Linked DNA regions of Mus musculus. The protein of the gene in region 3 interacts with the protein of the main gene of each other region in a biochemical or structural test. Links are inferred from orthologs where the notes say so. Each region holds a gene or a part of one and is shown on either strand. Other genes may lie near its edges. The genes, in order: Hace1, Arhgef7, Rac1, Arhgdia, Pak2, Arhgap32 and Iqgap1.

Region 1 (3,500 bases), on a different chromosome or scaffold from region 3:
CATGAGAGATACTGCCTGCCTCTCATGGAAAAATAAGGCAGAACAAGCAAAACCAGGATTGAGTCAATGACTCAAGAGACACAGGAAGGATCTCGTTGAAGATCTCCCCTGTGTCACTGCGGGCCTGTCTGTAGGTGTCTGTAAATATGAGTGAGTAAATGCCCCTCCACAGAGCTTTGCACTTACTTCACACATTCCCTGGCCACTCACTCTCTCACTTAGCAAGGTATTCTAGAAAGCATGTCACACAGCAACTGCAGTATGTAACCTGCTTCTCAGACCACACCCACTTCTGTGGAGAACTTTTACATACACCTGCACCTATACACGTGTCCCCAGAGGATAAGTTTCTAAGACAACTGTCACACTAAAGTATGTAGTTACACTAAGTGTCAATAAATACTGCTAAAATGCCCCTACCCATAAAGGTCAAGAAACAACTGAGAAAAATAACCCATTGCCAATACCTGGCTTCCATGTGCATCCACACTGGAGACACGCCTACTCACATACATGCAGATATCACATACATACAAATAAAAAAATTTTGAATAACTTTTTTTTAATTAGGTATTTTCCTCATTTACATTTCCAATGCTATCCCAAAAGTCCCCCATACCCTCCCCCCTACTCCCCTATCCACCCACTCCCACTTTTTGGCTCTAGCGTTCCCCTGTACTGGGGCATATAAAGTTTGCAAGTCCAATGGGCCTCTCTTTCCAGTGATGGCCGGCTAGGCTATCTTTTGATACATATGCAGCTAGAGACAAGAGCTCCGGGGTACTGGTTAGTTCATAATGTTGTTCCACCTATAGGGTTGCAGATCCCTTTAGCTCCTTGGGTAATTTCTCTAGCTCCTCCATTGGGGGGGCCCGTGATCCATCCAATAGCTGACTGTGAGCATCCACTTCTGTGTTTGCTAGGCCCCGGCCTAGTCTCACAAGAGACAGCTATATCTGGGTCCTTTCAGCAAACGCTTGCTAGTGTATACAATGGTGTCAGCGTTTGGAGGCTAATTATGGGATGGATCCCTGGATATGGCAGTCTCTAGATGGTCCATCCTTTCGTCTCAGCTCCAAAATTTGTCTCTGTAACTCCTTTCATGGGTGTTTTGTTCCCAATTCTAAGAAGGGGCAAAGTGTCCACACTTTGGTCTTCATTCTTCTTGAGTTTCATGTGTTTTGCAAATGGTAACTTATATCTTGGGTATCCTAAGTTTCTGGTGAATATCTAACTTTTAAACTATACAATACTGAGTAACTAAGTGATGATAACACCATCACTTAGTATACATTTCCAATCAACTTTTTCAAAATGCAAATGCTTAACTAATACAATCAGCTAAACAGTAGTCTAAATTATGTAAATAACCAACACATCATAGTACTAAACTAAAATGATTCTTTCTAACTCAAGTCTTAAATATGCTAGTTTGCTTAACTTAAGTACTTTCATCTACTTGCAAATGACAAAGTAAGTTTTTCTAGCAAATGCTGGAATAATTTAGAGAAACTGGCATCAGGGCCATTATGAAGAATGACTAAGGCAAAAATCTGGATACTTACTTTGTTATTTTGTGTCACAAGAATACTTCCACCCCCAGGCTTTAAAGGCACCTCTTCCATAGCTCCAAATACATCAGTCTCAACAGAAAAAGTCAATTCTAGACCCAAGTCACTAATATCATTATCTAAAATCCATTGCAAATTTTTGGCATATTCAGGATCAATAGATGCTACATCTTGGTAATTTACAGGAATACCTAAAAAGAAAATTGAAAAGACAGCAGTTACAATATAGGCACTTCTGACTTCCCTTTACTGATTTAATGGTGAAATGCTGCCCTCTACAGATACTCTGAAAAACCACAAAATATAATCAAATTTGCAGCATGTTTAAAATGGATGCTAATTTCTAAATTTAGAAGTCCATTAAATTAAGCTGCTGTTCCTTCTTCATCTTTACAATGCTGTCTTTCTTTGAAACAGCTATTTAGGAAGCTGTTATAAGCTTCAGAATTGCCAATTACTTTAGGTATATGCATAAAAAAATGGATGCTTTGTATAAACACATACACACTAAAATGGAAATGCAAAAAAAAAAAAGTGATTTTAAAAAAAGGTAGAGCATTTTTCTCTCCCTCTAGCCCCCAGATACTTTAGGAACACAGATGGTCTCTTATCAGAGCAGTAATTATTTCAACAGAAATGGCAAAACTGGCACTTATCCAATCCATTCTCTCTAAAAGCTGCAAGGAAAGCAATGTAAATGTCTTCAGAAGTGAGGGTACATCCATACCGAGAATGTGCTTGTAGAATGATCGTGTGAAGTAAATATTGACCAGCTGCCTGTGGTTCAAAGCTAACCCCAAGATCTGTCCAGCAAACCGGAAATAGTTCAAGTGATCAGGATTGACATAGGAGTTGCTGTTGGGCTGGAAAGTTGTTCCTATTGAAATAAATAGAGGACAGTAAGATCTATATGCAGAAAAGAACATTCCAATGCAGGTAACTTTATTCACATGTAACTCACTCAGCATGGCTATGGTTACATTATGCAGACTACAGCATGCAGTTCTTTGCATAATCTACAGAAAGACAGTAGAATTGGAAGTATAAAAGATGATCATCAGTTCACACTTGAGAGGAAGTCATAAAATACTTCTGACTGACACCAAAGAGTCCCTGGTAAACACAATAAAAGATCATACACATATGCAAACATTTTTCTAGGAACTGTGGCAGTAACTACTCAGCTATAAATCTGACAGACACTGCTTCATTCATCTGTACATGCCCAGTACTCACTAGATGTTGCATATTAAGATACACAAACTATGAAAAGAACCATTCTTAAGTAATTTGATTACTGAATGTGATGCCTATTAATACCAATTAATGACTGGGAACTCTGCCCACCTAACTCATCCTACTCTCAAAAGGCAAATAATCAAGTTTAAACAACTACCAATGATGTGAAAGTGACAACAGCAACCATATGATCACTCAAACCTATGTAGTAGCGTGATACAGTCCATCTTTATGAACTATATGGAATAGACAAATTTAGAATAGAGGCGCAATAAATTAGTGGTAGAGGAAGCTGAATCTAAGGTACAGAGTTTCTCCTCAGGCTGGTGGGACAGCCCCAGAATTAGACTTGGTGATGACTGCAGAGCATAGCAAAAGGACTTAATGCTAACAAACGATCTACTTTCAAATGTCTTCAGTGGTGAATTTTATATTTTACCAAAGAAGAAGAGGAGGAGGAGGAGAAAGACAAAATGACACACTAACTTCCAAAAGACCTAGCAAAATAGTGAAATCTAAAGCCACACCTTGACTTTAACTCCCCTTCAATACTTTTTCTGGCCATTGACGTGAATTACAAATTCATTTGTTCATAGAGCAGAATATACATTGAGTTTGTGCTTTACACTACTATTTGAAAAACAAGGCTTAAACAAAGACAAACTGATAAAATTAATGAAACAGCACCAA
Region 2 (3,500 bases), on a different chromosome or scaffold from region 3:
TTAGGTGTGTGTTGGCTTTTGTTACTTTGAAGCAAATGATTTTTAGTGTACAAGAAATATTTTTATGTAGCTGAAGAGGTTTGTCAGGTAGATGAGAGCAACATTGACTTAACAGTTTGTCCTACTTTCTTGTAGCTTGAAGAATCCACCGGTCCTCAGGCCTCAGTAGCAGTTTCTAAGTTCTTTTTTCTGGGCCACGCGCAGACAGTTACCAAGTAATATTCAAAGATACTCCATACAAGGATGGAGAGGGCTCAGTGGTTATGAACAGTGGATGTTCTTCCCAAGGACCTGGGCTTGATTATCAGCACACACATGGCAGCTCACAACCATTTGTAACTCTAGTTCCAGGGGGTCCCACACCTTCTTGTGGTGTTTGGGCTCTGTTCACATGCAGGAAGACATCACACATATAAGCAATACAAAGAAATATATCCTGACCTTTTACTTTTTCTTTTCTTTCCCCTTTCTCCTTTCCCCCTTCCTCTCCCTCCTTCTCCCTTTCCCCTTTCCCCTTTCCTTTCCTTTCCTTTCCTTTCCTTTCCTTTCCTTTCCTTTCCTTTCCTTTCCTTTCCTTTCCTTTCTTCTTTTTTTCTCTCTCTTTTCCTTTTCCTTCTCTCTCTCTGTCATTCTTTCATTCTCTCATTCTCTCTCTTTCCACAGGATCTCTGTTACATAGCTCTTACTGTCTTAGAACTCAATATATAGACCACTGGCCTGGAATACACAGAGATCTGTTTGCCTCTGCCTCCCATGTTTTGGGATTAAAGGCTTGTGCCATCACACCTAGCTAAATAAACCCTTTTTTTTTTTTTTTTTTTTTTTGGTCTTACAAAGCGCTCACAAGCTCTATAGCTCTTTCTGGTTATAGTTCTCCGACCTGCTGAGGTTTAATGTGGGTTTGGTTAGATTCTGGTGGCATTTAATATTGCTCATCTAGTTTGGTAGAAATCTCAAGTAGAAATAAGGTCTGAGATTCCATGGGATCTGGTATAAAGATTTGTGCACACATTTATGAACAGATTCTTTTTACTATTAGGAGAAGAATGAGAGATACCTCCTGCTCTTCCCAAACCTTCTGCTCATGTTGTCTGCAAGTCCCAGGATGAGTGGTTTCATCTATCAGGTAAACACAGCTACACTGATTGTAGTTTTTGTTTGTAGTGGATGTGGCAATTGTTCTCCTTTGAATTGAATGTATTAATGTTGTACTCACCTGTGTGTGCCACGTGTGGTACCATGTCGTGACTCTGTGTAAGAACTCTGTGTGTTCACGTCTGTTGCATCTTTTGATGTGACTGGAGAGCAGTGAACAGCCCACATCCATCTCTCCCTGACCGCATTGTCCTCTGCAAAGCACATTGCTTCTCTGGGCTTTCATGTTCCATTCTGCCCAAGGTAGGTTCAGCTAGGTGCTGAGGGCTAAGGTCTTCAGTAAGGGGTAGAACATCCCAAAACTCTGGACTTGGAACCTGATCATTTAACCTTAGTAAACTGTTAGTAAACTTTCTTTTAGTGTCTTGGTTTGTCACCATTTCTTGGAGAACGTTTGAGAGTTAGTTGTAAGAGAGAGTGTGAGGGACTCTTTTCTGTTAGTCCCCACCAATGGTGGGGACATTAGGTAGGGTCTGGGAGATGCTATCAGTGATCCTGTCTCAAGGACTGGCTAGCCTCCACATACTATTTTAGTGGATGTTGTTGTTTCACTTTCAACCGGCTTTTCTCTGATGTGTGTGTTTTATGTTGTCCTGTGGAAAATAGATGTGGCTTGGTCTGTCCCTAGGAGGGCTAGTTACCACAGGTGTCCCAAGGGAGCCTTTACAGATAGATGGCCGAGCAAATATGCATGGGAAGAGTCAGAAACCTGAGGCTTCCATTGGTGAGACCTTCTGGGTGGCTAAGGTGCCCGGGTGGCAGCTCCCTGTTGAGAGATGCCTGTTTCTGGCTCCACTCCATACCCTAGAGCCCCAACCTAGGCTGGCACTTGTGCAGGGGCTGTCTGCTGTTGCTGCAGCGTGCTCCTAGAGATGCCATCTCTGTACCAGGGCCATCTTTGTTCCCAGGAGTATGCTGATTAGCCCTGTGGTGATCATCACCTCCAGTGCTTGGAGGCTAAGGCAGAAAAATCAAGATTTTTTAGGCTAGCTTGGGCTACATAGCAAGAGTCGTCTTAAAAACAGAACCTCCTTGGCTTTGGGGATGGCAGCTCTGGCAGTGGGACTGCGGCTCCATGGCTGAAGATAAGAGGCGGCTGCTGGGAAAGCGCAGCCAACACTCCTCTGTGGGGCTTCTTGTCCTCAGCCACTGAGGGGTTAGGCCTCTGTTGCGCTTTCAGCCTGGCCCTCAACTGTTTGGACTGGGTGACTTGTTTGTTTGGTTTGTTTTTTGCCTGGAGTAGGGCACAAGATAGGGAAACCGTCGTCGGTAGTTTTCCTTGTTTGCTTTGGACCTCTGTTTACACATCATAAGCAGTTTGACTCCCATGTCCAGGTCACAGTCCATCCCTGAGGATAGTGCAGGACAAGCAGGAACAGAGAAGGAGAATAAGAAGGAGTGCCCTGCTGCCTGCCTTCCCCTGCTCCCCCCCACCCGCCATGCCTTTCTAAGGTTTTGAAGCCTCTGCCCAGAGGTGGCATTTTGCATGGTGGGCTGGGCCTCCTGCTGTCAGTCACTAATCAAAAGTACCCGGGCAGGCTTGTCTGTGGGCCCCAGGAAGGCTGACAGTCCCTCTGTTGGGCTTTTCTCCTGCTGATAGCTTTAGTTGTATCAAGTGGACAAAACTCATCAGCACAACTCCTGTCTCCTGTCTGCTGGTGAAAACCCTGTTCTCTTTGTAAAGATGTGGCCTTTGGCAGCTGGCTGTCACAGTTTATATGGCCCAGGGAAAGCTGTTGCCTGCTGGCTTTTACTGTTTAAATGAGCTTTGTCCCCCTGTTTTTCTCAGCTGGCATTTCCTGCTTCATGGAGAATCCCTCCCATTTTACAGACAGACTGACTGCCACTTGGGCACCCTGTGGCATCCGTTTGACATCACGGCTTATTTCCTGTTTGAATTGTCTCTCTCTGTGTTTTTGTCTCCATTACTCATCAGCTGGCTCTTCAAACTCCTAACTCCTTTCTCTGTGAGGCAGTGAGTTCTCTGTCATATGCCGTTAAAGCAGCCACTGTGCACCCTGGCTCCGTCTTCTGTCTTCCACTCATAGAATCACCCATTGGGTCAAGATCCTGCTTTGGTTCAGTTTGGGTTCTTGATCTGGTTTGACTGTTCTTTAAGGTGTCCTTTAAGCTCTTTTGTACACTTAATTCTGCTGCCACGTGTGAAGTCATTTAATGTGTGTGGTCCCTTCTTTATTAGGAAAACATTGTTTTGGGGGGTCTTTTGTAGGGGAAGCTGCCAACAACAGGAATGACAATCACAAAGCTTGAGGACAGTGAAAACCATAGGAATGCATTTGAGATATCAGGTAATGTATCCACACTGTGCCAGTGCCATGTCCTTG
Region 3 (4,025 bases):
AGGACCGGGCACTCAAGAGCCTCTTCATACTCAGCATCTCATTTAGGCTTGTTTAACTTTCCCTTGAGGCATCTCTCTTGAGGAAGAAATGATATGCTGAGGATTACTCCGTAGGTTAAAAGGGTACTGAGGGCTGGAGATGGCTCAGCAGTTCAGAGCACTGGTCATTCTTCCAGAGGGCCTGGGTTCCACTCCTATCACAACCTAATGGTTCACCGATCTCAGTAACTCCAGTCTCAGGAGATCCTCTGCTGGCATCAACATACGGCACGGACATACACACAAAAACACCCATACACATTAAAAAATGTAGGGAGAAAAAGAAAGGTGTGGCAATCCAAATGAACCCTACAGGAGGCATTCTACACGTTTTTACTAGATTTTCTTTTTAAAGCCAGCAACAGGCTAAGACGTATCTCAGCTGTTCAGACGTGCCAGGAAACCTAAGGCCCTGAGGCCCAGCTGGGGGTGGGGGTTACAGAATGAGTGCTGGCATACCTGCTGCATGTGCATGTCAGGTCTTAGGAATTCCCAAGCACTAAGGTTTGGGTTTGGATCAGCAGCAATTTACCTTTTTAAAAAGTAATTGTCTTGAGATGTCTTTCAATGTACTTTTTCATAGTCATCCCTACTTCCTTCCAACTCCACCCCAGCCCTAAAAACTCACCTAGTCCAATCTGTGCTGCCCATCCATAGACTCAACAGTGTGAGGCCTCACACTGGGGCTAGTTTCCCTCAAGGACCACATCCATAGAGAACACTGACTGGCTCACCCCTAGAAGCATCAAGGGCCCATCTCGACTCAGCCTAGGCCCTCTCTGCCCTGGGCTAGGATCTTATACAGCTGCTGCTGAGTTCACAAGTGGAATCTAGAAAATACTGTTTCCGCTGGGTGTCCCTGACCTCTGACTCTTATAATCTCTCTTCCTCCCCTTGGTCCCTAAGCTCTGGGAGGAAAAGAGGATGGTGACAGAGCAATTTAACTTATTAAAACACTAGGAATGTGGTAGTATTCCCCAGCCCACAAACTGCTGGTGAAACATTTTTAACTTTTCAAGGAAAGTTCAGGTAAGTTTTAAACGTTCCCCAGCAAGGTGCTATGTTATAGTTCAACCGCAATACAAAAAGAGAGACAGACAGACAGACCCAGCCATCTTGCCTTCACTTAAAGCAGACCTGTGGCTCATACCTGTAAGCCCAACGCCTATGTCCATGTCCTCCTAACAGGAGAATCATGGAGTTGGGACCAAGGCAGTCAGAAACTAGGATTTACACAAAAAGACCCCGGCCCCACAATACAACATCTTCACTATCAAACTAAGTGCCCCAAGTGACAAAGCTTTCTTTTAGGAGGTGAAAGGAAAGCACCATTGACATTCCTACTCAATGAAATTCCAGTGTGTCGTTAAATACATTGAACCGTATCCATGAGACTTCCTGTCTCCGAGACAAATCCCACAGACAGACATGTTAGCAGAAAAATAAAGTTCTCTGACCGTCTGGCTGACTTAGTTACAGGGACGATCCCAAAGTCTAATGTAGAGTTCTGTAAATACGCTGAACAATCGCTCATAAATCCACGGGCTCATAAACCCATGGGCGGCGAGTGCTCACTGCAAGTGTGGAAGGCATTAAGCAAGTTTGGCAACGTACTCGACTGAACTAGAAAGTGGACCAGTTGCACTCTGCGTTTGAGGAAACGGGTGGTAAATCTCCAAGCTTCCTCGTTAACACGAACCTACACAAGCTACGCTGAGACGCGCGATTTTGCTCCGATTACACTGAGATTCTTGTTTCTACCGAAGGGGTGGGGGGAACGGGACGGACTGCATAAGACCAGTCTTGTCTCCCTCAAGGGCCTGAAACCATCACGGTCAATCACGAAAAGAATTGCCTCGAGTCACAGGGAGCTGGATCTGCTACATCCATATCTAATGCCTTCAGAGAAGGTTTGTTTGTTTTTAATAACCACACTTCGTTCAATGGACAGTCTTCATCACACTCCTTCAGCTAGCATCCCAGTAACTTTCTCGGCGTAAGTGTGAAAATGAATATTTTTATAAACACCCTGTCAAGTCGAAGCAACCGAGCCCTTTCCCAAGTTCCAGGTCACCCAAGTGACTGGTGCAAACATGCATCGACCAGGGCCGGCCGACTTGGAGGCCGTTACCTATCCCAGTTCTCGGGGGGGGGGGTGCGAGGGGGTACCCTGAGTAAATGAAGAAACTATACGTCCCTTTCTCAAAAGACAAAAATTTTTTTTAAAAATGTTTCAAGAAAAATTCTTCAAACCAGCCTCGCCTACGTGCCAAGTCGAGTAGGGCGACGGGCGGCGTCCGGCCCGGGAAGAAGGCAGGAGGGTGGAGTTCACTTTTCCCTCCGGCCGGCTCGCCCAGGCCCTCCCCCAACCAGAATCCGGAACCAGGCCCGGGAGGGTGGGAGGCTCGCGCCCCCCAGAAGGCCGGGCGCGCGCTCTACGCCAGCTCGAGGCTTTTCGGGCCTGCGGGGGCCCCCGATGGCGCTGCGCGCGGCACCGGGTCCGGAGCGCCAGGCGCGGCCGTGCACTCACCCGTCTCCCACCACCACACACTTGATGGCCTGCATCTGGGCCGCTCGGTGGGCCGCGGCGGCGGCGGCGGCGGCCGGTGGCTGAGGCGCGAAGCGGCGGGCTCGGGAAGCGCTGGGCGAGGCTGCGGGCGGCGGGGCGCCGAGTGCCGGGACTGCTGTCCACGCCGCCGGGCCCTCAGCGCACGGGAAGGCGAAGCGCAGCAGCAGCCACCACCCAAAGCTGGGGAAAACTGCAGAGAAACAGGAAATGGCCGCTCCACTCACATCCGGCCTCCCCTCCCCCTCGGTGCCGTCGACGCAGCTCCCAGGCTCCGGGCGGGGCCGCTCCCGCCCGCCCGCGCGCCCGCCCGCGCCGTTCCTGGCTTCCACGGGCTTTCGGGAAAGCTCGGCAACAGTCGGCTCCAGCCGGAGAACGGGCTCGGCGGCCGCGGGGCGGGGCGGCCGCCATCTTGGCACGCTAAAGCGTCCCGGTTGTGACCAGGTTTAGGAAGCCCTCTGAATCCTGGGGTTACGGGTTCGGGTCAGTGGTAGGGTCCCGTTCGCTCGCAACCTACTTGTGCCAACTCCATGGAGAGATTCCTGAGCCCCCTTGTTATGTGATAACTACAGTATGCTGTAGCGTAAGATCCTGCTAGAAAATTCTGTATAGCTCGTGCCACAGTGAGATCCAGTCTCAAAAAAGAAACTGCTAGGGATGTAGCCAAGTCAGAATGTTTGCCGGCATGTACAGCCTGGGGCTCCATCCCTAGCACATCACAGCCTGCCCTGGTGGCTCACCTGTAATCCCAGCACTTGGTGGGCGGAAGCAGTAGAATCCTGGGGATCAACCTCAAGTCCAACCTCTGGATATGCAACTCAATTGGTAGAGTGCTTCCCCGAGCAGATACAGATATGAAACCCTAGGATTGAACCTCACGACGGTATGAAACAGATGTGGTATATATCAGGTAGTGCATACCTGGAATCCCAGCTCTGGACTGGAGGTAGCAGAAACATCTGAAGTTTGACCTCTGGCTATGTAGCGTCCAGCGTTAACCTGACCTACCATGAGACTTTCTCAATAGGGGTGGGGGGTGGGGAGGGAGCACTAAATAAACAAAAATATAAGGAAAAAAAAACATACATACCATTAAAATAATAAACAGAAGGATAAAGGTCAGAAGAATTCTTTTAAAGATTGCTGATATGATAGGGTAAGCATATAATTCATTCACAAATAAGGTAGCCTATTAGAAGACAAGAACATTAAAGATATTTTTGGTTATCTGTGGTGTGTGTGTGTGTGCATGTTTTCATGTGTGGGCACATGTGTGGTGCACATGTGTATAGAAGACCAAGGTTGACACTGGGTGTATTCAGTTGCTGTTCACCTTATATATATTGAAGTAAGATCTCTCATTGAACACAAAACTGGCCAATTCCAGTTAATCTAGCCAACCAGCTTGCCCTGGAGATCC
Region 4 (4,106 bases), on a different chromosome or scaffold from region 3:
GGAGTGGTGGGACTAGAGGACAGATAGCCCAGCCCTTCCCCATGCTGCGACAGAGACAAGGTGGGCTGGACAACCCTGACAGTGTTCTGTTCCATTCTAGAAGCCAGGGCCTGAGGAAGGGAAGACAGAGGGAACCTGGAGGGACACAGCAGATTGGAGGCCTGGGCTGGAACCCCTCCCCCACTGCACAGGCAGAAGCAGCAATGTGACACTGGAGACCACAGGGGCCTGCGGGCAGGAGGTGGAGGAGGGGCAGACAGGAGAGCTGACTGCCTGAGTGGACTAGGGAGGAATGACGGGTGAGGGAGGTCCTGTCAGCACTTTGGTTTGGGGTAGGTAGGGGGTTAGGGTGGGGCATGTCGGTCCTTCTGTCTGTCCGTCGCCCTGCCCGTCTCCCAGCTGGAGCTCAGTCCTTCCACTCCTTTTTGATGGTGAGATTCCACTCCCAGGACAGGTGGTCAGTCTTGTCGTCATCTGTGAAGCGCGACTTGATGTTGTAACTGCCCCGAGCAAGCATGCCTTTGGGAGCCTCCTCCATGGGTGTCAGGAACTCATACTCCTCGGCCCTCGGCCCATAGCTCCCGACCATGTAGTCAGTCTTGTCAACTGAGGGACAGGAGAGGCAGGATTACTGGTGCTGCACGCCCCTCCCAGGCCCAATGGCTCCCCACTCTATGGCCCGCCCACTCACTTTTGACCCCTTTCCTGTATGTGTGTTGGATGTACTTCATGCCGGACACGATCTCTCTGTTCACCTGTGGGGACACAGAGCCAGGGTCAGCTGCCTTCCCAGGCTTGCCCCTCTGCCCCTTGTTTCCAGGCCTCTCAAAGCCCCCACCTTACCCGGAAAGAGATTTTTATCCGGTACTCCACACCTTCCTTCAAGACAAACGACTGTTTCTTGAAGCTCTCCAGATCACCTGTATTGAGGAGGAGTCTCCGCTGACTGCTTGCTTGAAGGGCTCTCCACCCTGCTACATTCACTCTCCCCAGCCCCTTCCCTGACACAAAGCAGAGCTTCGGCAAGCCCCTAGCTGCACTTCCCCTCTTCTCCACCAGAGGGCATCAGTGCAGAAAATTATTTTTAGGGGTAGAGGCAAGATGCCAGCTGGCCCCACCCAGGGATTCTAATACCCACTCACCTGTCAGGTCCAGTTCCAGAGGGCCTGGGGCAGTGCTGCATACCAAGGTCAGTCGAGTCACAATGACATTGGGGACGTTGGGGTCTGCAGAGTGAGAGTTAAGAGTCAGAGTCCCATCCCTTAAGATTTTTCTTTTTAAACTCACTCCTTGGAAGAGTGGTCTGGAAAGAGACTGGGCACAGGTTTAGATGACATCCTTCCTCCAAGCCACCTACCTGCAGAGACAGCTACTCGGCCCAGCAGGGCCTCCTTGTACTTTCGGAGGCTTTCATCGTCCTTGTCCAGTTCCTGGATCTCCTGGATGCTCTTCTGGGCTGGAGGCTTGTAGTTCACAGAGTGCTCATCTTCCTCATTCTCTGCAGCTATCTGCGCAAGCTGCTCAGCAGTGGGTTCCTGTTCTGCCATGCTTACCTCTAGCTTGGGACACCTGTGGGCGGGGCATGAGCAGGACTGTGACAGCCTGGAGGCATTCCACCCTAGGCAGACCCTGACACCTGCAGGACACCTGACTGGAACTTTGAGAGGATGCTGCCACTGCCCTACGCAGAGGCCCATTTGAGAGGACTAGAACCCCAAGCAACGAAATGGGACCACAGCCTGTTCCTCAGAGAAGCAAAACACCTTTCCTCCCCACTAAGAATAAGCCTCCAGACCGAACTGAACTGGCAGACGCAACACTAAATCCCTGGGGTCCTGTTGCTGTCCCTAGCTGCCCAGGCTCTCATCTTACTGGGTTGGGTCATGGAGGTAAGTTCTCCGACAGGGAGATGCTCTGTATGTTAGCCACGTGCAGGACAAGGGTCTGTTTGTTCGTCCCTTCCAATGGAATACTGTCCTAAGCTCAACTATGTGATGACCGCTTAAATCCCAAGAGCCCAAAGGGGATCCTAAATACGCAGGTCTGTCCTCTCTAGTGAGGGTCTGCGTATGCAACTTGGGAGCTAGTGCACCGCTTGCAAATAAATCTCAGGAGCCTGTTTCTGGGCCCTGACCCTAAACCTTTAGTGGCGGTGAGGAACCAACCAGGACGGAAGCGCCTAGATGCCTTTCAGTTCCGCAGATTCCCAAACGTCTCTCGGAAACCCACTGTGATGCCTACAGGCAATGCGCAGCGGTCCCGGGAAGAGCCCGGCCGTTGTCCCTCTGAGAGGTGTCCGCCAAGGAAACACATAAAGCGGCGGTCCGAAACCCGGAGGCTACAGACAACCCCACCCGACGCCAAGCGTGGCCGCCGGCGACAGCATCAGGGCGCGGCCCGCACTTCCGTAGAGCCCGCAATCCGAGCGGGGCGGGGCCGCGCGGCGGGAGCCCCGGGCCAGGCCCCGCGCCGGACCCCGCCCGCGAGGCCGAGGAAGGGGGTCCCCTGGTAGCAGGCGCGCAGGCCCGGGGGGCCGCGGCCCCTCCGGCAGGACCTGCGCTGCCGCCCTGGCCCGCCCCGCCCGCCCGCCCGGGTGACCGCGCCCCGCCCGCGAGCGCCGCAGTCGCCCGCGACGCCGCACAAAGCCAACCCACTCCCCTCCCGCACTGCACCGCGCTGCGCCACGCGCCCACTCACCGGAGGCTCGACCGCCGCTCTCGCGCTCCCTCCCGCACCAAATGACGAACGTCGTCCGCCGCCCGCCGCTCGGACGGTCACTTCCGGGGTCACAAGACTTCCGCTCTCGCGGGCGGGGTCGCCTTGCGCATGCGCCGCCAGGGGGCGCGGGTCGGCGCCGTCGCCATTTTGCTGCGGGCCTCGTGGGCGCGTCCCGCGTGGGCCGGCGCCCTCGCGCCTTCTGCCGAATGCCGGGTGCGAGGGTTTGTGGGACACGAGAGCCGGCTCTTCCAGAGCAGCGTCGCGCGGCCATTCTGTGGCTCCCAGGGTTCCCTGATTGCCGTGCCTGGCCCTTGTCCCATTGTCCTCAGAGTCAACAGAACCACAGTCCTCACCGACCGCAGTGCCCTGTAGCTGTGCTGCCTGGCGCATTGCTCTGGGGACTGCGTGCCCCCCGAGCCCCCGTATGTTAGAAGTTGTATGGTTTTGCTGTGAGGAGCGGTTTTCCTTGGAACGGGCTGCCTGCCTATCTTGAACCTCATCCCTGAGACGCGCCCGCCTCTGCCTCCAGGATGCTGAGATTGAAGGCGTGCACCATCACCGCCAGGCGTGTTTCACGACGCTGAGGATGGAGCCTCCTTAGTGGAGGGCCTGGCTGGGGGGGTTCCCGGTCGTGTGCTTGTGCCAGCCACTCCAGTTCCTCCTGAGGAGTCTCAGTTCCTGCTACTCCGTGAGGGCACTCCATGTTGGCTTCTTCTGAGTGTAGCCTCAGACTGAGGGGAGGCAGGAATTTAAGGGGCACTACGGGGACTTCTATAGCTTAATCCCACAAAAGCCATCGCTTCTGGCCTGCTCTGTTGGCCACACCTGCCCCTGTGGTATCCAGGAAACAGCTGTTGGCTCCGGAGAGTCATCAAACTTAAAAGATGAGGAATCCAATGGCCTCCACTCTCCATCTTCAGTTGTGGCCCAGTTATTTTACACAAGCACGCATACCCTCTGGCTATACATCAATCTGAAGCAAACCAAGTGTTCTTTCAAGCTCATTTATTTTTATCTCTAAGGAAGATGGATTTGCAATATCATTACCCTACATCCAGGTAGCTGCTCTTCTATGCAGAACTATTCTAAAACAAAAAGCCACGTGACTATCCCCACTCTTACTGTATGATGAATTTGGCTGGCCTTCCACCTACACACAGGTGTGCCCAACGAAGTGTGTCAAGCTGGCTTTTCAGGAGGCTCATGGTCCTCCAACTGGATGAGCCTGGTTTATTGAGCTCTGTGCCACCCACAATTCCCTGGTTTGACGCTCAAAGTACAAATCTTCCAAAGCTGCGTTTTTATGTTTATGCATATCAATATTTTGAAGTAGTCTCTGAACCACTTGTGTGCAGTACCCATAAAGGTCAGAAGAGGGCATTGCATCC
Region 5 (4,174 bases), on a different chromosome or scaffold from region 3:
TCTGTAACTAGCAGTGCTTGAGGAGAGAAAGGCCTGACCTAGTCTCAAGACTGGAACACAGTCCAATTTGAACCAAAGCCAGAAAACTGAAAGCACCGAGTACGGAACATTATTACTGTAATAACCAATACTGATGAAGATAGTAAGGATTCAGCCATAGCTACTAGTTTTATACTTGGCAATTATTTCAAGCTCCTGCATTTTGTAAAAGTATAACTCAGAGTTTATCTTTAGCTAACCAGAACAAGTTTTAAATTTCCTCATTTAAAACACGTAAAACTAGCCTTCATCATGTCTAGTTGGAAACTTGCCTATCATAAAAATCAAAGAAACACGAGAACCTTTTATCAGACATATATCAACTAAAAACTATCACTTCATGAATTTAGGTTTCAGGACACGGATCACAAAGCCCAGAAGAATTAATCTCTTTCTCTCAAAAGGTAAATCTGGAATCAAGGCCCCAAGATAAGTGAAATACCCAAGAATTCTCTTTTTAAAAACATGTCTGCTTGCCCAACACAATGGTAATCTCACTGGCTAGGATTCTGACGCAGATCTTAAGTCCAGAAGTTTGAAACAAACCTGGGTATCATAGAAAGAGGCTGTCTCCAAAGAAAAACAAACAAATACCTGCTTTTGGAAACAAATGAGATATTCTGCAGGCACAGGCTTGCAATCCCAGCTACTAGGGAGGTTGAGAAGAAAACCCCAGTTCAAGGCTTACCTGGTAGGGAAGAGATTCAATACCAGCCTGGGAAACAGTGAGACTGTCTGCACAGAGAAGAGAGGGCTGGGCTTGTAACTCAGTGCTGCAAAGAACACTTGCCTAGCATCACAGGGAGGTCTGCGGTTCAATCCGGTACAAGGGGTTAAAAAGGAGAAAGAAACAGCAGAAACTAACTTCAAGGTACTTTTTCATTCCCTGACATTCCTCCCTAGTGTCAAGACAACTCACTAACCTAAGAACAACCCACAGTACCAAAGGATGGCAGTACTTGATACTAATCCATTTCCCCCATAGCCTGGCAGAGGGAAAGGTAATAATGTACTAGTGAAAACAAGAAGAAAACATTTTTAATTTTGGGCAACCTCTTTTACCAAAACCCAAAAGTTACATTTTCTATCTATCTAAGCAACAATATAAAATTCAGTTTCCCTGATGTAAATGTACAATAGTGTTCCTGGCTAATTAATCTCTAGAAAGACCTAAAAAGAGAGGCTACCAAATATGTTGGCTAACACGTGTAATCCCAGCACACAAGGCTGAGACAGGAAGAGTGTCACAACAGCCTGAGCTGGAATGAGGCCCTGTCTAGGAAAGGCAGAGGATGGGTATAAAAGTATACGAAAAAGGCTTCCTTCACACACACACACACACACCCCAACTGAAGAACTGGGGTAGAGACAAGCAAGAATGTTCTACAAATGCCACAGAGCTTCTGGCAAAGTTGACGTGCCCTAACCTGTTTTAAAAATTACTACTCACTGCCTTCATCCCAACCTAATTTTATTCATACTATTCTTTTGGATAGCTCTACCAAAAAAAAAAAAAAAAAAATCCCCAGAGCAAATTCTTGTGTATTTATTTCAATATCCTGCCTACTTTATAAGAGCGGAAGAGTCGAATACAGCAGGGGAAAAACGTGACGTGCACAACCTTCACCCAAAACACAGCTCAGCTCGTCGTTGTCTAATTTTGGGCCTAACCGGTTTGGTTGTCTTTTTTTAAAAGGTTAGAAACGAAAAGCTGGAAAATCTACAGGTCACTTGTAAAGAAGAACCTGGCGGCTATCGATGGGAGTTGGTGATTTGTCAAAGAGGAAACAAATCTCACTTCCACTCTACCTAGTTCTATTAAGACAGGGGATGGAGAGAGCCTCCTTCCCATCAAGCCACAATGGCAATTATTTAACACACTTCTGTCTTGGACGACTTGATCTAGAACTAATCAAAAGGCTGAGTCCATTAAGTTATTTGCAGCAACTTTTTTTTTTTCTTGTGAGGGCGCGCGTGTTTCAGACAGCCAAACATGGTGAAAAGCCAACCTCAGCCCAAGTTAACCTTAAGAAGCAAATATTCACCTCCTGGCTAAAGATCAAGCAAAAACCGTAAGATCCTTAACTTCTGTTCTTAAACGCAGGCTCCCAGAGCCCGGCAAAAACTTTTTCCTAATGTGGAGGAGGAGGAAGAGTTTACACACTGAACTTAAGGAGCTCGCGACAGGATTCCCGAGCGACGAGACTGCAGAGAACGCAGCTGGTAAAGGAGGGAACATCCAGGAACAAACCCGAGTCGTCCGGTGCAGCGCCGGCGGGAGAGAAGGGCAAGGACGGCCGGAGTGGCCAGGGTCCCCACAGCCCAGCAAGCTTCCTCTCGGCCGAAGCTTAGAGCCAGGGCGCAGACAATGAGCCACCGCCCGGAGCCGCGGGCCCGCCCGCAGGTGCTGGCGTCCCGGGCCGCTGGGCCCAGGCCGCGGAGGCGGGAGGAGGGCGGCGGCTCGGCCCGGCCCGGCCCGGCCCGGGCGAGCGGCAACCGCACTTACCAGAGAGGAAAGGTCTCCGCCCGACCCAGGGCGGGCTGCTTGGCCGACGCGGGCGAGCACTGCGCTGGGGCGCTGAGAGGGAGGAGGGCAGGGCGGAGGGGAGCGGCGCGGGGCGCGGCCGTCGCTACCGAGGCCGTGAGGCGCAGAACCCCTTGGGCCAGGGAGGGGAGGGCAGGAGCCTTCGGCAATGGCGACGGCCCGGGCCGGAGGGGAAGCGGAACAACCGCTGCCGCTGCGCGTGGCCACAACCCTGGGGGAGGGCGGCGGCGGGGGCGCGGGGCGGGGCCGTAAGACAGCCCCGCCCTGAAAGTGGCGTCATGACCCGAGGGGCGGGCTTTCACAGGGCGGCTGGGAACCGTAGTCTAGTCATCTGTTAGGGAGACTCAGGACAGTGGGCGTTACAGAGAAAACCTGTCCCTCATTTATCAGCATTCTGCATTGTCTGCAGTTACGGTTTACCTACTGACAAAGCTGACGGAGAACAGCTGATCCAAACATATTTGTGTGTAGAGGGTCTTTGTTTCTGAGAATGTATCCATTCACCAATTGGTGTTTTGTGGGGAGGGATGGCTTTTCGAGTCCTGGCTGTCCTGGAACTCACTCTGTAGTCCAGGCTGACTTTGAACTAGAGATCCTCCTGCTTCTGCCTCCTGAAGAGGTACTGCCCAGCTCACTTTGTTTTTTGGTTTGGTTTGGTTTGGTTTGGTTTTTTGGAGGCAGGGTTTCTCTGTATAGCCCTGGCTGTCCTGGAACTCACTTTGAAGACCAGGCTGGCCTCGATTAAAGGAATGCGACGCCACCGCTTTTTTTTTTCCTACAAATTTAACCAGATTAAGTTGAATCAGATTATGCTGCTAAATTAGGTCCTCCCTCTTTGCAAAACAAAGATTTTTTTATTTTTCTGTATTTTATCAATGGAGGAGTTAATTCATGTATTCTTATTCCACAACTATGTCAATATCTAATATCTACAAAAGACCATTTAGGTACCAGAAATGAACATGCTTCACCTAGTCTTTGTAAAGGTTAAAAACATGAAAACGGTGGTGGCGCACGCCTTTAATCCCAGAACTCGGGAGGCAGAGGCAGGCAGATTTCTGAGTTCGAGGCCAGACTGGTCTACAGAGTGAGTTCCAGGAAAGCCAGGGCTATACAGAGAAACCCTGTCTCAGAAAAAAAACAACCAAAAAAACGTATGAAAACATAAAAACCAAAACACTGATACCTGTTACAAGGTGGGGAAAAAGCTGAGGGATTACCGTGGACAGAGTGGACAGAGAAGGTGGCAGTTAAAACAGAAAAAGGAACTCGGAAGAACTGAGGGGAAAGGATTACAAGTAGGAAGAGGATTGCCACGGTCAGTGAGAGATGAAGGCTAGGCTCACAACCAAAACCACAAGACTTATGTAGCTGCACCTTGGTGTAAGATGGGTATATTAGAAAGTACTGTAGTAGTTGGGCGAGGTGGCATACTCCTTTAATCCTAGCACTTGGGAGGCAGAGGCAGGCGAATTTCTGAGTTCGAGGCCAGCCTGGTCTACAAAGTGAGTTTCAGGACCGCCAGGACTATATAGAGAGAAACCCTGTCTCGAAAAGAAAAAAAAAGTACTGTAGTACAAGATATGATGA
Region 6 (3,500 bases), on a different chromosome or scaffold from region 3:
CTCCTGAGAAAGGACTCTCAGTCGCCTTAAAGATCAGGTGAACTGTACCTTCTTCAACTCCCAAGTTGAAAGTTCTCTTTCCTGGTGCTGGAGAGCATGCTTAGTGGTTAAGAGCACTGATGCTCTTCAGAGGACCTGGGGTTGATTCCCAGCCCCCACATGGCAGGCAGCTCACAGCCACTATAACTTCAGTTCCAGGGAATCCATGGCTCTCCTCTGGCCTCCATGAGCACCAGGCACATGGAGTGTACACACACAAATGCAAACAAGGGCCGGGCGTGGTGGCACAAGCCTTTAATCCCAGCAGTCGGGAGGCAGAGGCAGGCGGATTTCTGAGTAGGCCAGCCTGGTCTATAAAGTGAGTTCCAGGACAGCCAGGGCTACACAGAGAAATCCTGTCTCGGAAAAAAAAGGTAAAAAAAAAAATGCAAACAAGGCATCCATACACATAAAATATTAAGTTTTTTTGGGGGGGAGAGGGGGGTTTGAGACAGGGTTTCTCTGTGTAGCCCTGGCTGTCCTGGAACTCACTTTGTAGACCAGGCTGGCCTACTCAGAAATCCACTTGCCTCTGCCTCCCAAGTGCTGGAATTAAAGGTGTGGGCCACCATTGCCCAGCAAAATATTAATTTTCTAAAATACAGTTAACATTCTTGACCATCATCCTACCACCATAAGAGCTGACAATGCCAGCCAAAGATGCTAGGCATAAAATTCTCCCTCAGCTGTAACTGCATACTGGGAGTCGTTTTCTCATATAGAAGGCTCTCTAGTTAAACTCTGAAGGCAGGGCACTACCTTAATTTTCTTTCTGCAGAGCCAACATATCTAACAATTAGGTAATAAATTGGTTGTAAACGGTATGATGTAAATGACCTGAGCATTACTTCTAATGGTCCCTAAGAGAAAAATGCTACTAGGTTTTCTAGTTTAAGAACATGTTCGTATCAGAGCACGAGTTTTAAAATCAATTTTAAAGAGTAATTTGCTTAACAGTCATAGATCTGTCTGATGGAACACAGTACTCCATAGGCTAGTCACGTAGGAGAATGACATGGGTGAAACTAGTTATAAACTTGAAAAGTATGCTCAAACACAGACTTGTCAATTTTAAATATGTGAAACTAAAGATCAAAACAAGTACATAACACAGGAGAATTATTACCAGCACTATACAAGCTATGTTACCCTAGAGAAGCAATGACACAAATGCACTACTGGTGTGTGTGTGTGTGTGTGTGTGTGTGTGTGTGTGTGTGTGTGTGTGTGTGTGTAACATCTACACAGTTTTTTTAAGAAACGGAGTTCTTCTCTACGTAACTGATACTATCTTACGAGCTGCAATCACACATGCAGACAACCAAGCTGGGCCACACAACTATGCATGCTTTACAGTGAGGTGTGTCATGATGGCAACGGGAAGGTACACCCAGAGAAGTTGGCTGTGAGCACAGTGGTAGGTGCCAGAAGCCACCAGGCAGTCTGCTACCCAGAACAGGGCAGCTCAGTGCTTACCTTTCAAAGCCATGGCTTTCATTTCTGAGGGCTCACTTTCATTACGCTGCAACTTGCGTTTGGAGACAGAAGAGGACTTCCCCAAATTGAAAAAGGAACGCCAGCTGCCAACGGGAGATTTTTTCATCTTATTCTGAGGCCTCTTTCTATGAAACAAAAAGTAGTTTATCAGTACTAAGATAACCAAGGCTCTATCCCTTCCTACAGAACAAGAAATGAACAAACAATAGAAAGAATGTAACAGCCTGGAGAGGCACAATGGGAGCCACATAGGAGCCTTCCATGCAGCTCTGCAAGGCATGGGAGCTAATGTGGGGAGCAACAAGAACTATAGCTTCAAAGACCACGTGCACCTCAGGATGAAAAAAAGTGCAAAGAAGACATTGATAATAAGCCTCCACAAAGAAGACAGTATAGGACAGCTGAGGCGAGGAGAGAGTGGGGACAGAGGGATGGCAGGAATCCAGACTAAGAGCCAGCTACCTGTGTATAGTTAGATGTCCTTTAAAACCAGATAACCACACAAGAAGCTGATGAAATGAAGACCTAAGAAGTTCAACTACTTTCCTAATCCTGTGAAAGTGTATGAGGGCATCAGGATTTCATGAAACCCAAGCCTGTCTACATCCTAATGTCTACTTTTTGAATCTCTACTTAAAGACATTTGTTCTTTGTAAAACAGGGGCTAAAATATGAAAGCAAGGTGCTGAGGACCAACTTAGAAATGATAAAGACATGTGCCAACTTCTGGTTCTTTAGTCACAGAAAAAAAATGAAGGTAAAGGATACCCAAAAATGAAAAAAGGGAAATTCTGAGGTTTGCTAGTGTTACATTACCTAAGGAAACAAGAGCCTTATGTTCATGGGCACAGCCAGGAGAGCAGCAGGAACATCCAAACTAACTTGCACATATATCTGTCTTCCTACAGCCCTCGCAAGGGAGTCACACCCTTTACTAGCATTTCCTTAGAGAAGCAGTGAGGGTAAGACCTCAGAGGGACACCGGCAGGACACACTGCAGTGCGTGTCATAGCGCTCAAGTCCCTGAAACCAAGTGACAACCAAAAACTGTAGTGAAACAAAAGCCTCATGCAAGTTTGTATGAGTCCTGCTTGCAGCTTCTCTGGGATCATGACAACTTCTGCACTTATCAGGGTGCACTGGACGCTCCAGTTCCTGACCAGGTGGGACTGGGCTGGGGCAGGAGGGTTTGCATGTCTCAGTTACCAGTGATTCTCTTGCTGGTCAAGAACCAGTGTCAGAGAAGTCACTAAGCATTCATTACTTTCTTTTTCTTTTTTCTTTTCTTTTCTTTTTTTTTTTTTTGGTTCTTGCCTGTTGCCATTTCTTTCTTAAAAAGTTATTTATTCACTTTACAACCCAACATCAGCCCTTTCCTCCTCCCAGTACTCCCTCATGCAAGTCCTCCCCCCATTCCACCATCCCCTTCTCAAAAGAGAAGGGGAAGCCTCCTACTGGGTGTCACCCCCATTTCCCTAGTTCCTCCTTAAATCAAGTCCCTGTGGTCTAGGTGCATCCTCTCCCACTGAGGCCAAACAAGGAAGTCCATTTAGGTGAGGAGGATCCACAAGCAGGCAGGCAACAGGCTCAGGGACAACCCTATTCCAGTTGTTGGGGACCCCCATGAAGACCAAGCTGCTCCTCTGCTACATATGTGCAGGGGGCCTAGAGCCAGCCCAGGCTCTCTCTTTGGATGGTGATTCAGGCACCTTAAAGATCCAGACTAATTGACTCTGTTTGTCTTCCTGTGGAGTCCCTGTCCTTTTCAGGTCCCTCAACTCTCCCAACTCTTCTATAAGACACCCTGAGCTCCATCGAATGTTTGGGTGTGAGTCTCTGCATCTCTTTCCATTGGCTGCTGGGTGGAGACTCTCAGAGGACATTACTTTCTGAATAAGCTATTTCAGCATAACTTATGTCTACATTTCTCAAAGAGAAAAGCCAACCTCATACAATTAATATGT
Region 7 (2,624 bases), on a different chromosome or scaffold from region 3:
TATGTGCCACCATGCCGAGCTGCCTAAATATCTATTTTTGCACATTAAAAAATGTACCAAATAAGGATGGTGACACGCACCAGTAATCCAGCTCTCAGGAGACAGAGGCAAGAAGATTCAGAGTTTGAGGCCAGCCTGGACTTCATTGTAATTCCTGGCCAGCCTGTATAGTGAAAGCAATCTTCAAAATCCAAAGCCAGAAATAATCAGACAATTGAAAGGATTCATGAGCGGTGTCCAGACCCAACTATGTGTGTACCACATAGTAGACCTCTTACGGTTTTTGTTGGTTGGTTTCTTTTTCTTTTCTTTTTTTTTTTTTTAAAGATTTATGTATTTATGTATGTAGCTGTCTTCAGACACACACCAGAAGAGGGCATCAGATCCTATTACAGAAGGTTGTGAGCCACCATGTGGTTGCTGGGAATTGAACTCAGAACCTCTAGAAGAGCAGTCAGTGCTCCTAACCAGTGAGTGACCTCTTCAGCCTGGTTGGCTCATTTCTTTTGCAGTGCTGAGAATCAAACTTTGAGCCTCACACATGCTCTACTGCCAAACTGCTCTTCCATGTCTTGCCACACCCTGCCTTGCTTGCCACTGCCGTGGTCTAGCAAACCAGGCTGGTGCCTCTCTGTGAGCAAGCGTTCCGCCTTCTGCACAGGATGCTCTCCCCTCCTGGAATCAGCCTCCCTCCCTCTGCTCCCTACCTGCCTCCTGCCTCCATCAAACAGTGAGCACTGGCCCGCGCTGCCCCCCTACAGCCGCAGTGATGGCCCTTCCCCTTGACTCAGCAGCCCTGAGACATCCTCTGTTGACAGTGCGAGCTGACTCATTTCCCTGCCACCCCCAAAACTGGGAACTCCTAAGACAGTATGTCTTAGTCATCTGTACCTCCCTGTTGGTAACCAGTAGTCTCTCAGCGCATATTAATTCAGTAACTGTGAAAGGATTTCTTCACACACTGTAACTAAGCATACTGCATACAGTCCCTATTCCATTGGTTTCACTGCCAGTGCAGGCCAACCAGTCTGCTAAGGAGACTGTACACTGCTGCTCGGATTCAGGAACTGGTCTGCCTCATAGGTGCCTGGGGTTAGGGTTAGGCTAGGCAGAGAGGACACACCATGGTCCCCATCCTTGGGACACTGCGGTCCCTTCATGCCCTTCCTCACCACCACTCACCAGTTTAGTGGTAGTGACGACAGTGCTGTCGTAAGCCGCCAGGACTGCAGAGAACATTAGAAAACAGCCGATCATACCGATCACCCCAGAGCCAGCTCTTTCCTGATGGCCTTGCCACCCAACACTTTGAGCCTCAGCAGCTCATCTCTAAAGTTCAGATAATTATGCTTCATAAGGTTTTTGTAATGCCTTGAAAAAATAGTGTGTAAGGTGCCTAACCGAGGCCACACACAGGCTCGGTGCTGGATGGTTGCTCCTCCTGTTGTACTTGCATTTACGTTAGACAACCTTTCTCATGCGGAGTTGAAGTTGGAGTCATATTCAGTTTACAAGAGACCCTGGGCTCAGTCTCCTAAAAACAAAGGACTCCAGTAGACTGCAGAGCTGGAGATGTAGTTCTGTTGGTAGAATGCTTGTTTGGCAGGCACAAACCCCTGGGTTTGATCTCAGCACTGTAGAAACTGAGCCAGGCAGCACATACCTGTCATCCCACCATGGGGTCAGGAGTATTCGGTCAGCCTGTGCAAAAGTGCCAGGGGTGGAGGCGGGGCGGGGGCAGAGCAACTGGTAGGTACTGAGACATTACAGGTCATTCTCATTTTCATTTCTCATTCTCATTGGCATATTTCATAAATTGAAATGCCTTTACTTTTTCTATGTGTATTAAAACCTCTAACCTACATCTGAAACAATGGGGAAATGCCATCATAACTTCTTTTTGATTAATCATTCCTTTACATTTCAAATCATATCCCCCTTCCAGTTACCCCTCAACAAATCCCATCCCATCTCCCCTCTCCCCTCTCCACCCTCCCCTTTGCCTCTTGAGGATGATGCTTCACCCACTCATCCATGCCCTGCTCACTGCTCCAGCGGCCCCTACCGTTGTAACTTTTGAAATAAGCTTTAAATGTATTTTAACTGAACATAACTCCTAATTTCCCTTTGTGTTTAGAATCTTTTACTATAAACTAAATGATAACCTAAGACTAAGTTGTAGGCTCCCTGTTGCTCCAGCACCCAGGGTAGCTGGCCCCAGGGCAGTCGTGCCCCGTAAAGCTCTGCACTGAGAAGTGTGTCTGACCTGCTGCACCATTTCACACCTGGCACAGAAGTCCTGCCTCTCCTCTCCTGGATCGTGGGGTCCTTCCTTTTCTTGTTCTGGATTCGATGGTGAAATTGTTTTGTTTTGTTTTTTAAACAGGACTTGCTGCAGCTACAGTATGAAGGAGTTGCAGTTATGAAATTATTTGATAGAGCTAAAGTGAATGTCAACCTCCTGATCTTCCTTCTCAACAAAAAGTTCTATGGGAAGTAATGGGTCGCTCGCCGCCCAGAAGAGTTAACAAAAAACGGCAGCACCTCACGGCTGTCTTTCTAGGATCCTCCATTATTCCTTAGAAGCAAGGACCTGGTCCAGTGGCGGTGCCTCAGTTCACACT

What was found.
Region 1: of the proteins of Rac1 (region 3) and Hace1, one has a biochemical effect on the other in vitro, tested with the Homo sapiens proteins (5 studies listed by BioGRID and IntAct, with this or other methods). The link is inferred for Mus musculus from reciprocal best matches to the Homo sapiens genes RAC1 and HACE1.
Region 2: the proteins of Rac1 (region 3) and Arhgef7 form a complex in vitro, tested with the Homo sapiens proteins (2 studies listed by IntAct). The link is inferred for Mus musculus from reciprocal best matches to the Homo sapiens genes RAC1 and ARHGEF7.
Region 4: the proteins of Rac1 (region 3) and Arhgdia are reported together in a solved structure, tested with the Homo sapiens proteins (2 studies listed by BioGRID and IntAct, with this or other methods). The link is inferred for Mus musculus from reciprocal best matches to the Homo sapiens genes RAC1 and ARHGDIA.
Region 5: the proteins of Rac1 (region 3) and Pak2 form a complex in vitro, tested with the Homo sapiens proteins (2 studies listed by BioGRID and IntAct). The link is inferred for Mus musculus from reciprocal best matches to the Homo sapiens genes RAC1 and PAK2.
Region 6: of the proteins of Rac1 (region 3) and Arhgap32, one has a biochemical effect on the other in vitro, tested with the Homo sapiens proteins (3 studies listed by BioGRID). The link is inferred for Mus musculus from reciprocal best matches to the Homo sapiens genes RAC1 and ARHGAP32.
Region 7: the proteins of Rac1 (region 3) and Iqgap1 form a complex in vitro, tested with the Homo sapiens proteins (3 studies listed by BioGRID). The link is inferred for Mus musculus from reciprocal best matches to the Homo sapiens genes RAC1 and IQGAP1.

The regions. Positions count from the first base shown.
Region 1 is NC_000076.6:45,675,329-45,678,828, reverse strand, and holds part of Hace1 (E3 ubiquitin-protein ligase HACE1), read right to left. Parts: intron 2,449-3,500; coding exon 2,299-2,448; intron 1,763-2,298; coding exon 1,566-1,762; intron 1-1,565. UniProt on the Homo sapiens protein: E3 ubiquitin-protein ligase involved in Golgi membrane fusion and regulation of small GTPases. Acts as a regulator of Golgi membrane dynamics during the cell cycle: recruited to Golgi membrane by Rab proteins and regulates postmitotic Golgi membrane fusion.
Region 2 is NC_000074.6:11,811,558-11,815,057, forward strand, and holds part of Arhgef7 (rho guanine nucleotide exchange factor 7), read left to right. Parts: intron 1-1,039; coding exon 1,040-1,126; intron 1,127-3,385; coding exon 3,386-3,464; intron 3,465-3,500. UniProt on the Homo sapiens protein: Acts as a RAC1 guanine nucleotide exchange factor (GEF) and can induce membrane ruffling. Functions in cell migration, attachment and cell spreading. Promotes targeting of RAC1 to focal adhesions. May function as a positive regulator of apoptosis.
Region 3 is NC_000071.6:143,525,194-143,529,218, forward strand, and holds the start of Rac1 (ras-related C3 botulinum toxin substrate 1), read right to left. Parts: upstream 2,801-4,025; 5' UTR 2,605-2,800; coding exon 2,570-2,604; intron 1-2,569. UniProt on the Homo sapiens protein: Plasma membrane-associated small GTPase which cycles between active GTP-bound and inactive GDP-bound states.
Region 4 is NC_000077.6:120,578,825-120,582,930, forward strand, and holds the start of Arhgdia (rho GDP-dissociation inhibitor 1), read right to left. Parts: upstream 2,801-4,106; 5' UTR 2,698-2,800; intron 2,424-2,697; exon of another isoform or gene 2,166-2,423; intron 1,570-2,165; 5' UTR 1,548-1,569; coding exon 1,358-1,547; intron 1,227-1,357; coding exon 1,143-1,226; intron 921-1,142; coding exon 844-920; intron 756-843; coding exon 692-755; intron 607-691; coding exon 407-606; 3' UTR 1-406. UniProt on the Homo sapiens protein: Controls Rho proteins homeostasis. Regulates the GDP/GTP exchange reaction of the Rho proteins by inhibiting the dissociation of GDP from them, and the subsequent binding of GTP to them.
Region 5 is NC_000082.6:32,076,543-32,080,716, forward strand, and holds the start of Pak2 (serine/threonine-protein kinase PAK 2), read right to left. Parts: upstream 2,801-4,174; 5' UTR 2,546-2,800; intron 2,510-2,545; exon of another isoform or gene 2,291-2,509; intron 1-2,290. UniProt on the Homo sapiens protein: Serine/threonine protein kinase that plays a role in a variety of different signaling pathways including cytoskeleton regulation, cell motility, cell cycle progression, apoptosis or proliferation.
Region 6 is NC_000075.6:32,248,803-32,252,302, reverse strand, and holds part of Arhgap32 (rho GTPase-activating protein 32), read right to left. Parts: intron 1,662-3,500; coding exon 1,516-1,661; intron 1-1,515. UniProt on the Homo sapiens protein: GTPase-activating protein (GAP) promoting GTP hydrolysis on RHOA, CDC42 and RAC1 small GTPases. May be involved in the differentiation of neuronal cells during the formation of neurite extensions.
Region 7 is NC_000073.6:80,713,708-80,716,331, reverse strand, and holds part of Iqgap1 (ras GTPase-activating-like protein IQGAP1), read left to right. Parts: intron 1-2,386; coding exon 2,387-2,500; 3' UTR 2,501-2,624. UniProt on the Homo sapiens protein: Plays a crucial role in regulating the dynamics and assembly of the actin cytoskeleton.